2 linked regions of the Sus scrofa genome follow. The protein of the gene in region 1 purifies or fractionates together with the protein of each later gene. This does not show direct contact. Links are inferred from orthologs where the notes say so. Each region holds a gene or a part of one and is shown on either strand. Other genes may lie near its edges. The genes, in order: POLR2D and RPRD1B.

Region 1 (4,407 bases):
GTTCCGATCCCTTGTTGCTGTGGCTGTGGCAAAGGCTGGCAGCTGTTGTTCCAGCCTGGGAACAACCATATGCCGCAAGAGCGGCCCTATAAAGAATAAAAAGAAAAGAAAACATCCTCCCTCTTTGTTACAACACCTTAAAAAAGAAAAAGAGGAGTTCCTTTGTGGTGCAGTATGTTAAGGACCCAGTGCTATACTGCTGTGGTACAGGTTTCATCCCTGCACTAGGAATTTCCACATGCTGCACATATGGCTAAAAAAAAAAAAAAAAAAAATCTGTAATTTTTATAGCAAAATCCTACATTTGCAAAGAAAAAGAATGTACATGTATGTATTCATAAATGAGCAGTTTAGAAACTTTACAGTAGTTTCCTCAGGGTGAAAGGGAGGGGAATTTCACATTTTACTATGGATATAGTAATTTTTTATTTTATTTTTTGCTTTTTAGGGCTGCACCTGTGGCAAATGGAGGTTCCCAGGCTAGTGGTTCAATCGGAGCTATAGCTGCTGGCCTATACCACGGCCACAGCAACATGGGATCTTAGCCGTGGGACCTATACCATAGCTCATGGCAATGCCAGATCCTTAAGCCACTGAGTGAGTGAGGGATTAAACCTTATCTTCATGTATACTAGGCAGGTTTGTTGCTGCTGAGTTACTTGGGAACTCCTAAGATACGACATTTTAAAATCTTAAGCTTTCTAGGAGTTTCTGTCATGGCTTATCGGAAACAAATCTGACTAGGAACCATGAGGTTGCGGGTTTGATCCTTAGCCTCGCTCAGTGGGTCAAGGATCCAGTGTTGCGGTGAGCTGTGGTGTAGGTTGCAGACGTGGCTCATATCTGACATTGCTGTGGCTCTGGCGTTGGCCAGCAGCAACAACTCCCGTTAGACCCCTAGCCTGGGAACCTTCACATGACAAAAGTGCGGCCCTAAAAAGACAAAAGGCATTTTATTTATTTTTTAATAAATAATATCTTAAGTTTTCTACTCATTTTGGGTTTCTAAATTACAAACTAAGTACATCACACTGCACAAAGGAAGTTTCCTGATAGCAAAAATGTGTTTTACTTGCTGCCACGTGACAAAGATTCTCTCTCTGACCAAACTCTAGGCAGAATCCTTTGCACCCTCTTCTTGGCTAGGACTCAACTTTGGCCCACAGACTTGAACAAAACACTAACATGATTTCTAACAGCTCAAGATTACATGATTTCTAACTGCATTCCTGGGATGAGTCTAGCTCCTTTAAAGTAACTGCCTATAACAGGAACTATACTATAAGTAGCTCCAGTTGTGGCTCAGCAGTAATGAACCCAGCTAGCATCCATGAGGAATCGGGCTCGATCCTCAGCCTTGCTCAGTGGGTTAAGGATCCAGTGTTGCCGAGAGCTGTGTGTGGTGTAGGTCACAGACGAGGCTCGGATCTTGTGTTGCAGGCCAGCAGCTGCAGCTCGGATTTGACCCCTAGCCTGGGAACTTCCATATGTGGCCCTAAAAATCAACAAAATAAAGTAAAATAAAATAAAATAGCTGCCTATGAAAACTAAAGGCTGCCAAAATAATTCACTATTTATTCCAGCCACCTCCTGGAGATAGAGCCCCCATCCCCAGCCCAGAGCAGAAGTGGGAGGGTAGGAACCTGATTTTTTGGTGTTCCCGTCGTGGCACAGTGGAAATGAATCCGACTAGGAACCATGAGGTGGCGGGTTCAACCTCTGGCCTTGCTCAGTGGGTTAAGGATTTGGCATTGCTGTGAGCTGTGGTGTAGGTCACAGACACGGCTCGGATCTCATGTTGCTATGGCCATGGTATAAGCCAGCAGCTGCAGCTCCGATTAGACCTCTAGTCTGGGAACCTCCATATGCTGCAGGTGCGGCCCTAAAAAAAAAAAAAAAAAAAAAAAAAAAAATTATTATAGTTGATTTACAGTGTTCTGTCAATTTTTGCTGTACAGCAAAGTGACCCAGTTATACATTTATACACCTTCTTTTTTTCACGTTATCTTCCATCATGTGTCATCACAAGGGATTATACACAGATCCCTGTGCTATACAGCAGACTCTCAGGAGCCTAATTTTCCTAAGTGACAGTTAACAAATCCAAATGGGTTTCAAACTGACCAACTCTTCTCTTCCCATTTTTCTTTTAATAATGATTTTTATTTTTTCCATTAGAGTTGGTTTACAGTGTTCTGTCAATTTTTTACTATACAGCAGAATGACCCAGTCACACATGCACATATATATTTTTTCTCACATTATCCTCCACCATGCTCCATCACAAGTGACTAGATATAGTTCCCATTTCTACACAGCAGAATCTCACCGCTTATTCACTCCAAATGCTATACTTTGTTCTTCCCATTTTTCGTAGTTTTTCACTTCCCTGACCCTAGTAAGCCCCGCTCACCTCTCCCTATTCCCTCATTCTCTCTTTAAAACGTTCAGTCACCTCTCTACAAATCCAAGTTGGGACTAGTCTACGCTTGACTCTTTTCTCTACTGCAATGGTATATTACTGATTAAAATCGGTCCTGACCCCTTTAGTGCCGGTTTTATCTTTGACACATCCCTCCAGAACTTCGCAGAGTTTATCAGATAAAACGAATTACTTAAACAGGAGTAAGAGGCCGCCCAGAGCCAGTGCGGAGTTGGGCGCCGAAGGCTCCAGAGCGGTAGGTGTGCAATCAAGCTGGCCTGCTCTCACCGTACCGCTCCCCGCTGGCCTGCATCCCCCTCCTCCCGGCCCTTCGCCGCGCCCGCCAGCCCCAGCTAGGCCTACGCCAACCACACCGGACAACCGGGATAGTCGGGAAGCCCCAGGCCGCACCTTTGGGAAAAATGAGTTGTGAGGCATCCTCCTCTACATCACCAGCCCGCGGATCGCTGCCACCAGCCGCCATTGACCTGCCACGAACCTCCACTCGCACCGCCGGAAACGGAAGCGCCGATCCACGAAACACAGCACGGAAGGGGCGTGGTTTCGGAGACAGGGCGGAGTCCGAATAGGGTTGAGCAGGCCCCCACATGTGGGCGGACCCTCTGGGCTGGGCGGAACCTCTGGGCTGGGCGGGACCTGGATGGGGCGGGCGAAGCTGGGAGGCGGCAGAGAGGAGTGAAGCGACCTTAGGCTGCTCCCAAGGAAGTGGAAAGGAGCCCGAGACCGGGATTGCGGGGCTCACTCATCGCCGAGGGGCCGTCCTGCACTGGCCTCGCGGGAGAAGCCATCCTCGCCTCTTCCCCCGTACGCCCTTCGCCGCGCGGCGTGGCGACCGGTCGCTATACCTCTCTGAGGCTCAGTTAACTCACCTGTGGGGTGTGGATGAGAATACCTGCCTCCCAGGGCAGAGGGAAGGATTAGATGAGATGCAGGAACGCGCGGTTCCGAGCAGCTGGAACGAGAGGAACTCTCCTTGATGGGAAGCTGGGTAGGTGACTGAAAACGTATGATTTCCTTTATAGCCTTAAGCATTTAAAATTTTTTATTTGTAGTGGATTTTTCTAATACTTCTGAGCACGTGGATAGTGATATCGAGAGGCCTGATGGAATATTTGGGTGATACTTAGAAAACTAAGCAAATGAAAAATGATTTTGTTTCCAATGTGAGAGAAAACAGATGGTTGTACAGTGAAAGGAATAATCATAGTGCACTACTTGGCTCAGCAATGAACAGTGCTTAAGTATCATGTAAACTCTGCTAACAAAAAAAGGCATTACCAGACAAGACTAATTTTTACAAAATTAATTTGCCTTTTTTTAAATTTAATTTTTATTTATTTATTATTATTATTATTATTTTGTCTTTTTGCCATTTCTTGGGCCGCTCCTGCGGCATATGGAGGTTCCCAGGCAAGGGGTCTAATCGGAGCTATAGCCACCAGCCTACGCCAGAGCCACAGCAACGTGGGATCCAAGCCGCCTCTGCAACCTACACCACAGCTCACGGCAATGCCGGATCGTTAACCCACTGAGCAAGGCCAGGGATCGAACCCGAAACCTCATGGTTCCTAGTTGGATTCGTTAACCACTGCGCCACGACGGGAACTCCTAATTTGCCTTCTATCTGTATTTCCAAAAGAGATGTATTGGGTAAATCAATGGTAGTTTATATAGTATTGGCAGAGCTTTTTACTGCTTCAAAGTGCTTTCCTACACAATCCAACAGAGCTGTGGATTGATGTTCTGATGAAGAGGCTGGGGACAGGTAGCTGCTGGGTATGGGAGGTAGTTCTGAAGCTCAGTGTAGGCCTCTTTCTCCCATTTAGCCACCCAGCAGGACTTTACAGAGTACCTACTGCTTACCGGACCTCATCATGTGCTGGCCCCAAGGCTAGCTGGATCTTCTGCACACACACAGCAGGAAAGAAGTCAACAGGTGAAGAAAGAAGAAAAGAGGATAACAA
Region 2 (4,585 bases), on another chromosome or scaffold:
TCATCCCTTTCACTCTCCTTTAATTTTATTCAAGGTACTTATAACTTTCGGGCTTATTTTATACATGCGTGTTTATCTTCCCCTGAAGAAAGTAAGCTTCTGAGGGTTCTGTCTGTTGCCCTAGAACGGTGCTTTATATGTAGGTGCTCAAAAATTACTGGCTGAATGAATAAATGAACCACTCACTGCCTCACAGTGAAGAATTTGTGGATAAGATAAACTTGATTTGATTCCTGGTTCTGTCATTTCTTTTGTCCAGGTGACAGTGAGTTCTCACTCATGTATTACGTTTTCTCACCTATCAAATGTGATCACAGCCCCCTACCCCAAAAGGATTAAATAAAAGAATATATGCAATGTGCTTAATACACAGCAACCTGGTATAAAAGTATTCAGTATATAACACTATTACTTAATACAGAAAGATGGTCTAGATTTGGACTCAAAGGCCCTAGGTTATAATTATGACTGTGTGATTTTAGGCTCTTCACTTCTTTTATACTAATTCACTCAATCAGCTATGAGTCAGCTGCTGGAGTAAAGAAGACAGTCCTTTCCCTCTAATCTTCATTACATGAACTTGGGTCGGTCACCTTAACCTTTTTCAGCCTCACTTTCCACATCTGTCAAATGGAAATAATATAATACCCATCTCATAGTTTTGTTGAGGATTAAGTGAGTTACTATGTAAAAAGAGCAGCTGCTCACTTATGTTGGCTTTGATTGTGATGATTCTAGTCTGGCGGAATAAAAGCATCTAAGCAAAGGACTACAATACAGTGCAGTAAGAGCAACAACAGGCACCAACTAGAACAGTGTCTCCTAACTGGAATCTGCCCACAACAATCAGTTCCCCTAGGATCAAGACATTTTAAAACTCTGTTATGTCTACAAGAACCTAACTCCTGCCACCACCCTGCAGCAGTTTAGACAAATTTTTCTGATTTGACAACTGGGATTTAAAACTTTTTAAAAATAGGAAATGGGCTCAGTCTCAAATAGTGTTTCTGGAAGGTCAGTGAACCCACTGACTTCCTTACCTTCCTCTCCCCAAGTTAACATTTTACTTAAATTGAAGCAACAGTCCAAAGGACCCCCAGAGGGCAAAGACGGTTTGTAGTCCCCTGAAAACACCAGCCAAGAGCCTAGAGCCCCGAAGTGTATTTTATGGCGGTGCTCTCACAGACTAACATCAGAACTGGCCATTAAAGGCTGGTCCTGAAGGCCGAGCGGGAGCCCACAAGCTGAGGAGGGGGACGTCACCTTTGTAGAAAGAACAGCAAGAGCTAAAGAGTGAAGGCGTGAAAAGTGCACGTGGGTGGCGTGGAAGAACCAAAAAGCTTTTTGTGGGGGGCACCCAGAGAGCAAGACATGTATGGAGGAAAAGTGCGGGCTAGGGCCTGCCAGGTGAGGGAGAAATTCATCCCATCCCCAGGTCATGATCTCTCCGCCTCAGGATTCCCCTCTAAGGGCTCCAGCTTGCGGGGCTCCCTCTAGATCGCGCCACTCTCTTCCCTTACCTCGTCTTCCAGCCTTTCCCTCACTCTCCCGCCTCCTCCGCCCCGCCGGAAGTGACGCGTAACTCGCGCGCCGCACCGCTCCGCGCCAGAAAGGTTCCGCGATAGCGGGAGAAAGGGTGCCAGGGCGACTCACTGCGCCTGTGTGCGGGCGCGAGCGGTCAAAGCGCTTTCCGGAGGCCGCCGAAGTGCTCTCGTTTCCCGGTCTGTCGCTTTTGGAGTGCCCCGAGCGAGATTTAGAGAGGTCTACACCACCGGAGCGGTGTTTTTCTACACTCTGACTCCTCTTGGTGCCCCGCCACTCCGGCGCTTGCCCTTTGACCCCGCTGTGGCGGTGGGGTGAGAGGTCGGTGGCCATCTTGTGGAGGCGGCGCGGGCGGCTGTTACTGCGGAGACCCATCCCCTCCCCCTCCTGGCACCCCCGCTGTCTCTCAGTCTGTAAAGAGTCGTGCAGGCCGTCAGGTGAGGCCCCGGCCTCGTGCCGTCACTCTTCCCGCCGCTCTGGGCGGCCTAGGCCGCTCCTTGCCGGGCCTCACCGCCGCCACCATGTCCTCCTTCTCCGAGTCTGCGTTAGAGAAGAAGCTCTCGGAGCTGAGCAACTCTCAGCAGAGCGTGCAGACCCTCTCCCTGTGGCTCATCCACCACCGCAAGCACGCAGGACCCATCGTCTCAGTGTGGCACCGTGAGCTCCGCAAAGGTAAACACCCCCTCCACCCATTTGGGTCCTCCCCACGGGCTGTCTTCTCCCCCACCCACTCCTTAGGCCCCTCTAGCTTTTTAGTTGAACCTGGCTTTCCGGGCCTGGGCCTCTGAGTGACTGCTCTTCGGAGGTTGAAAACTGTGTTATCCACATTTCTCGGAGAAGGAAATCAAGTCCGGGAAGGTACTTGTCTGAGGTTCCACCGACCAGAGCTCAGGACTCTCGGTTCACCCAGCCGTTTTTCCCTCCGGCTTCTCCTGACACTTGTGACTATTATTCTCTCGGCGGCGTTGAGCGCCTGGTGGAGGGTACAGGCCCTAGCCTGTCGTGTGCTAGACTCTTGCTGGGCATTTGGAGTAAGACCGCCTAGACAGAGTCCTGGCTCAGCCACTTGCGATCTGAGTGATATCGGGCAAGTTTCTTCTCCCTTTGCCTCTATTTTCTCATCTGTCAAAGGAGGACAAGGGTAGCTGCCACTTACAGAGACTTTGTTCTGTGCAAGTCACTATGCTAGGACCTTGCATATCTCCTGGCACTTAGTCCTCAGCACTGCCTTGGGAAGTGGGTACAATCACTGCCATTATAGAGAAGTTAAGGGGCCCCACCACCTAGACCTTGTCTCTCAGTTTCTCCTCTTCATTTCTCATGCAACTCTTCATTGGTTCGAGACCCTGCTCAGGATCTGACAGTCATTGATTGAGTTCAGCCTGTTATATGCCAGGCGCTGGTTTGGGAGCTTGATAGCATGTTGGCTGCAGAGGCCAACTGCCTGGAATCTGGGTCCAATTTTGCCATTTACTAAGCCCCCGAGGTTTAACCTCTCTCTTCCTCAGTTTCCTGATCTGTAAACTGGAGATGATGATAACTGCTATTTATGTGCCTTTGTTCTGTGCCAGGTGCAGTACTGATATCTTTACATATATTGTCATTTTTTATTTATTTTCTTTATTTTATTTTGTCTTTTTAGGGCCGCACCCGCAGCATATGGAGGTTCCCAGGCTAGGAGTCTAATTGGAGCGGTAGCTGGCCTATGCCATAGCCACAGCAACACTAGATCCAATCTGAGCCACATTTGCGACCTACACCGCAGCTCACAGCAACGCCCGATCCTTAACCCACTGAGCAAGGCCAGGGATCAAACCTGCAACCTTCTGGTTCTTAGTGGGATTCATTTCTGCTGCGCCATGATGGGAACTCCACATTGTCATCTTTTAAATTCTCAGAGTTGTATAAAGTAGGAGCTTGGCAGGTGAGAAAAAAATGGAGGCTCAATCAGCCTGTGGTGTGGAGTAAACAGATAATCCAAGTGAACGCCTAGCATGTGTCAGGCACAGTGTAGGCACTGGATTAATAAAAGCGAGGTGGGATACTGATTACTCAGTGTGGGGCATGTTTTTTGCCTCAAGTTGCTTGCAGTCTGGTCGGGGAGGATGGCCATCTACACGGCTATCTGAAACGCCAGTGAGTTCCGTAGCAGAAAGCTGAGAAGATGAAGCTTAGCGCTGTTTTGGACAGCCTGTGTGTGGTAGGCCCATGAGAGCTTAGGAAGTAACTTTACATGTGTTCTCTGCTATCCGTGAGGTTGGGGTGTCACTCTGTCTTACAGATGAGGAAACTCAAGTGACTAAGTGGTATTTTCAAGGCCTTAGAGCCACAGAGGCTCAGACTACATCAGATTGGCAGACCCAAAATCCAGTATTTTTTCAGTTCTAGTCCTCTGGCAGACATGCCTCAAATATTATATGCTTTACTGTGGTGAGGGTCCTTTCAAGCACTAGGTGGTTGGGGGATAGAGCCTGGGGCTCCCAGAACCTCCCTCATGTACCCCCTTGTGCCATTCAGATATTTCTGTCATCAGAGTTGTGGGGAAAATTTTTGAAGTGCCTCTACAGGATCCTCTGATAGGATCTCAGAGGCAGGTCAGAGGCTATCTCAAATGTCTTCTTTTGTGAGGTCTTCTTGATTCCCCACATCACCCTATTTGAGTTATCAAAAGTAGCAATTTAAAGAGTACTTTTGTTTATGAAGCTCCTTTAACCCTAATATCATCTCGGGGAACCTTATGTTGTAAATAGGCCAGCATTATTATTCCCATTTTATAGATGAGAAGATATGAGGAGATTAAATATTTTGTTAAGGAGTATATAGTTGGGACATAAGCCCAGAGTTCTCTGACACCAAAACTTTTTTTTCAAGTATCCAGTGCATCAGTGCACTTAATACTTCAACTCTACCTGTAGTGCTTTTGTTTATTAGAATTAACCAGCATTTATTTCATTCATACTAGTTATGTCTCTTTCATAGAGGGAGAAACTAGACCCTCTAGTTGTAATGTGCACAGCATTTAACAGTGCCTGTTACAAAGTTA

The links.
Region 2: the proteins of POLR2D (region 1) and RPRD1B purify together in Homo sapiens (affinity purification with mass spectrometry; 3 studies listed by BioGRID and IntAct, counting the BioPlex papers as one, with this or other methods). This does not show direct contact. The link is inferred for Sus scrofa from reciprocal best matches to the Homo sapiens genes POLR2D and RPRD1B.

Annotation. Positions count from the first base shown.
Region 1 is NC_010457.5:59,478,201-59,482,607, reverse strand, and holds the start of POLR2D (DNA-directed RNA polymerase II subunit RPB4), read right to left. Parts: upstream 2,978-4,407; 5' UTR 2,907-2,977; coding exon 2,834-2,906; intron 1-2,833. UniProt on the Homo sapiens protein: Core component of RNA polymerase II (Pol II), a DNA-dependent RNA polymerase which synthesizes mRNA precursors and many functional non-coding RNAs using the four ribonucleoside triphosphates as substrates.
Region 2 is NC_010459.5:41,092,385-41,096,969, forward strand, and holds the start of RPRD1B (regulation of nuclear pre-mRNA domain-containing protein 1B), read left to right. Parts: upstream 1-1,607; 5' UTR 1,608-2,063; coding exon 2,064-2,214; intron 2,215-4,585. UniProt on the Homo sapiens protein: Interacts with phosphorylated C-terminal heptapeptide repeat domain (CTD) of the largest RNA polymerase II subunit POLR2A, and participates in dephosphorylation of the CTD by RPAP2. Transcriptional regulator which enhances expression of CCND1.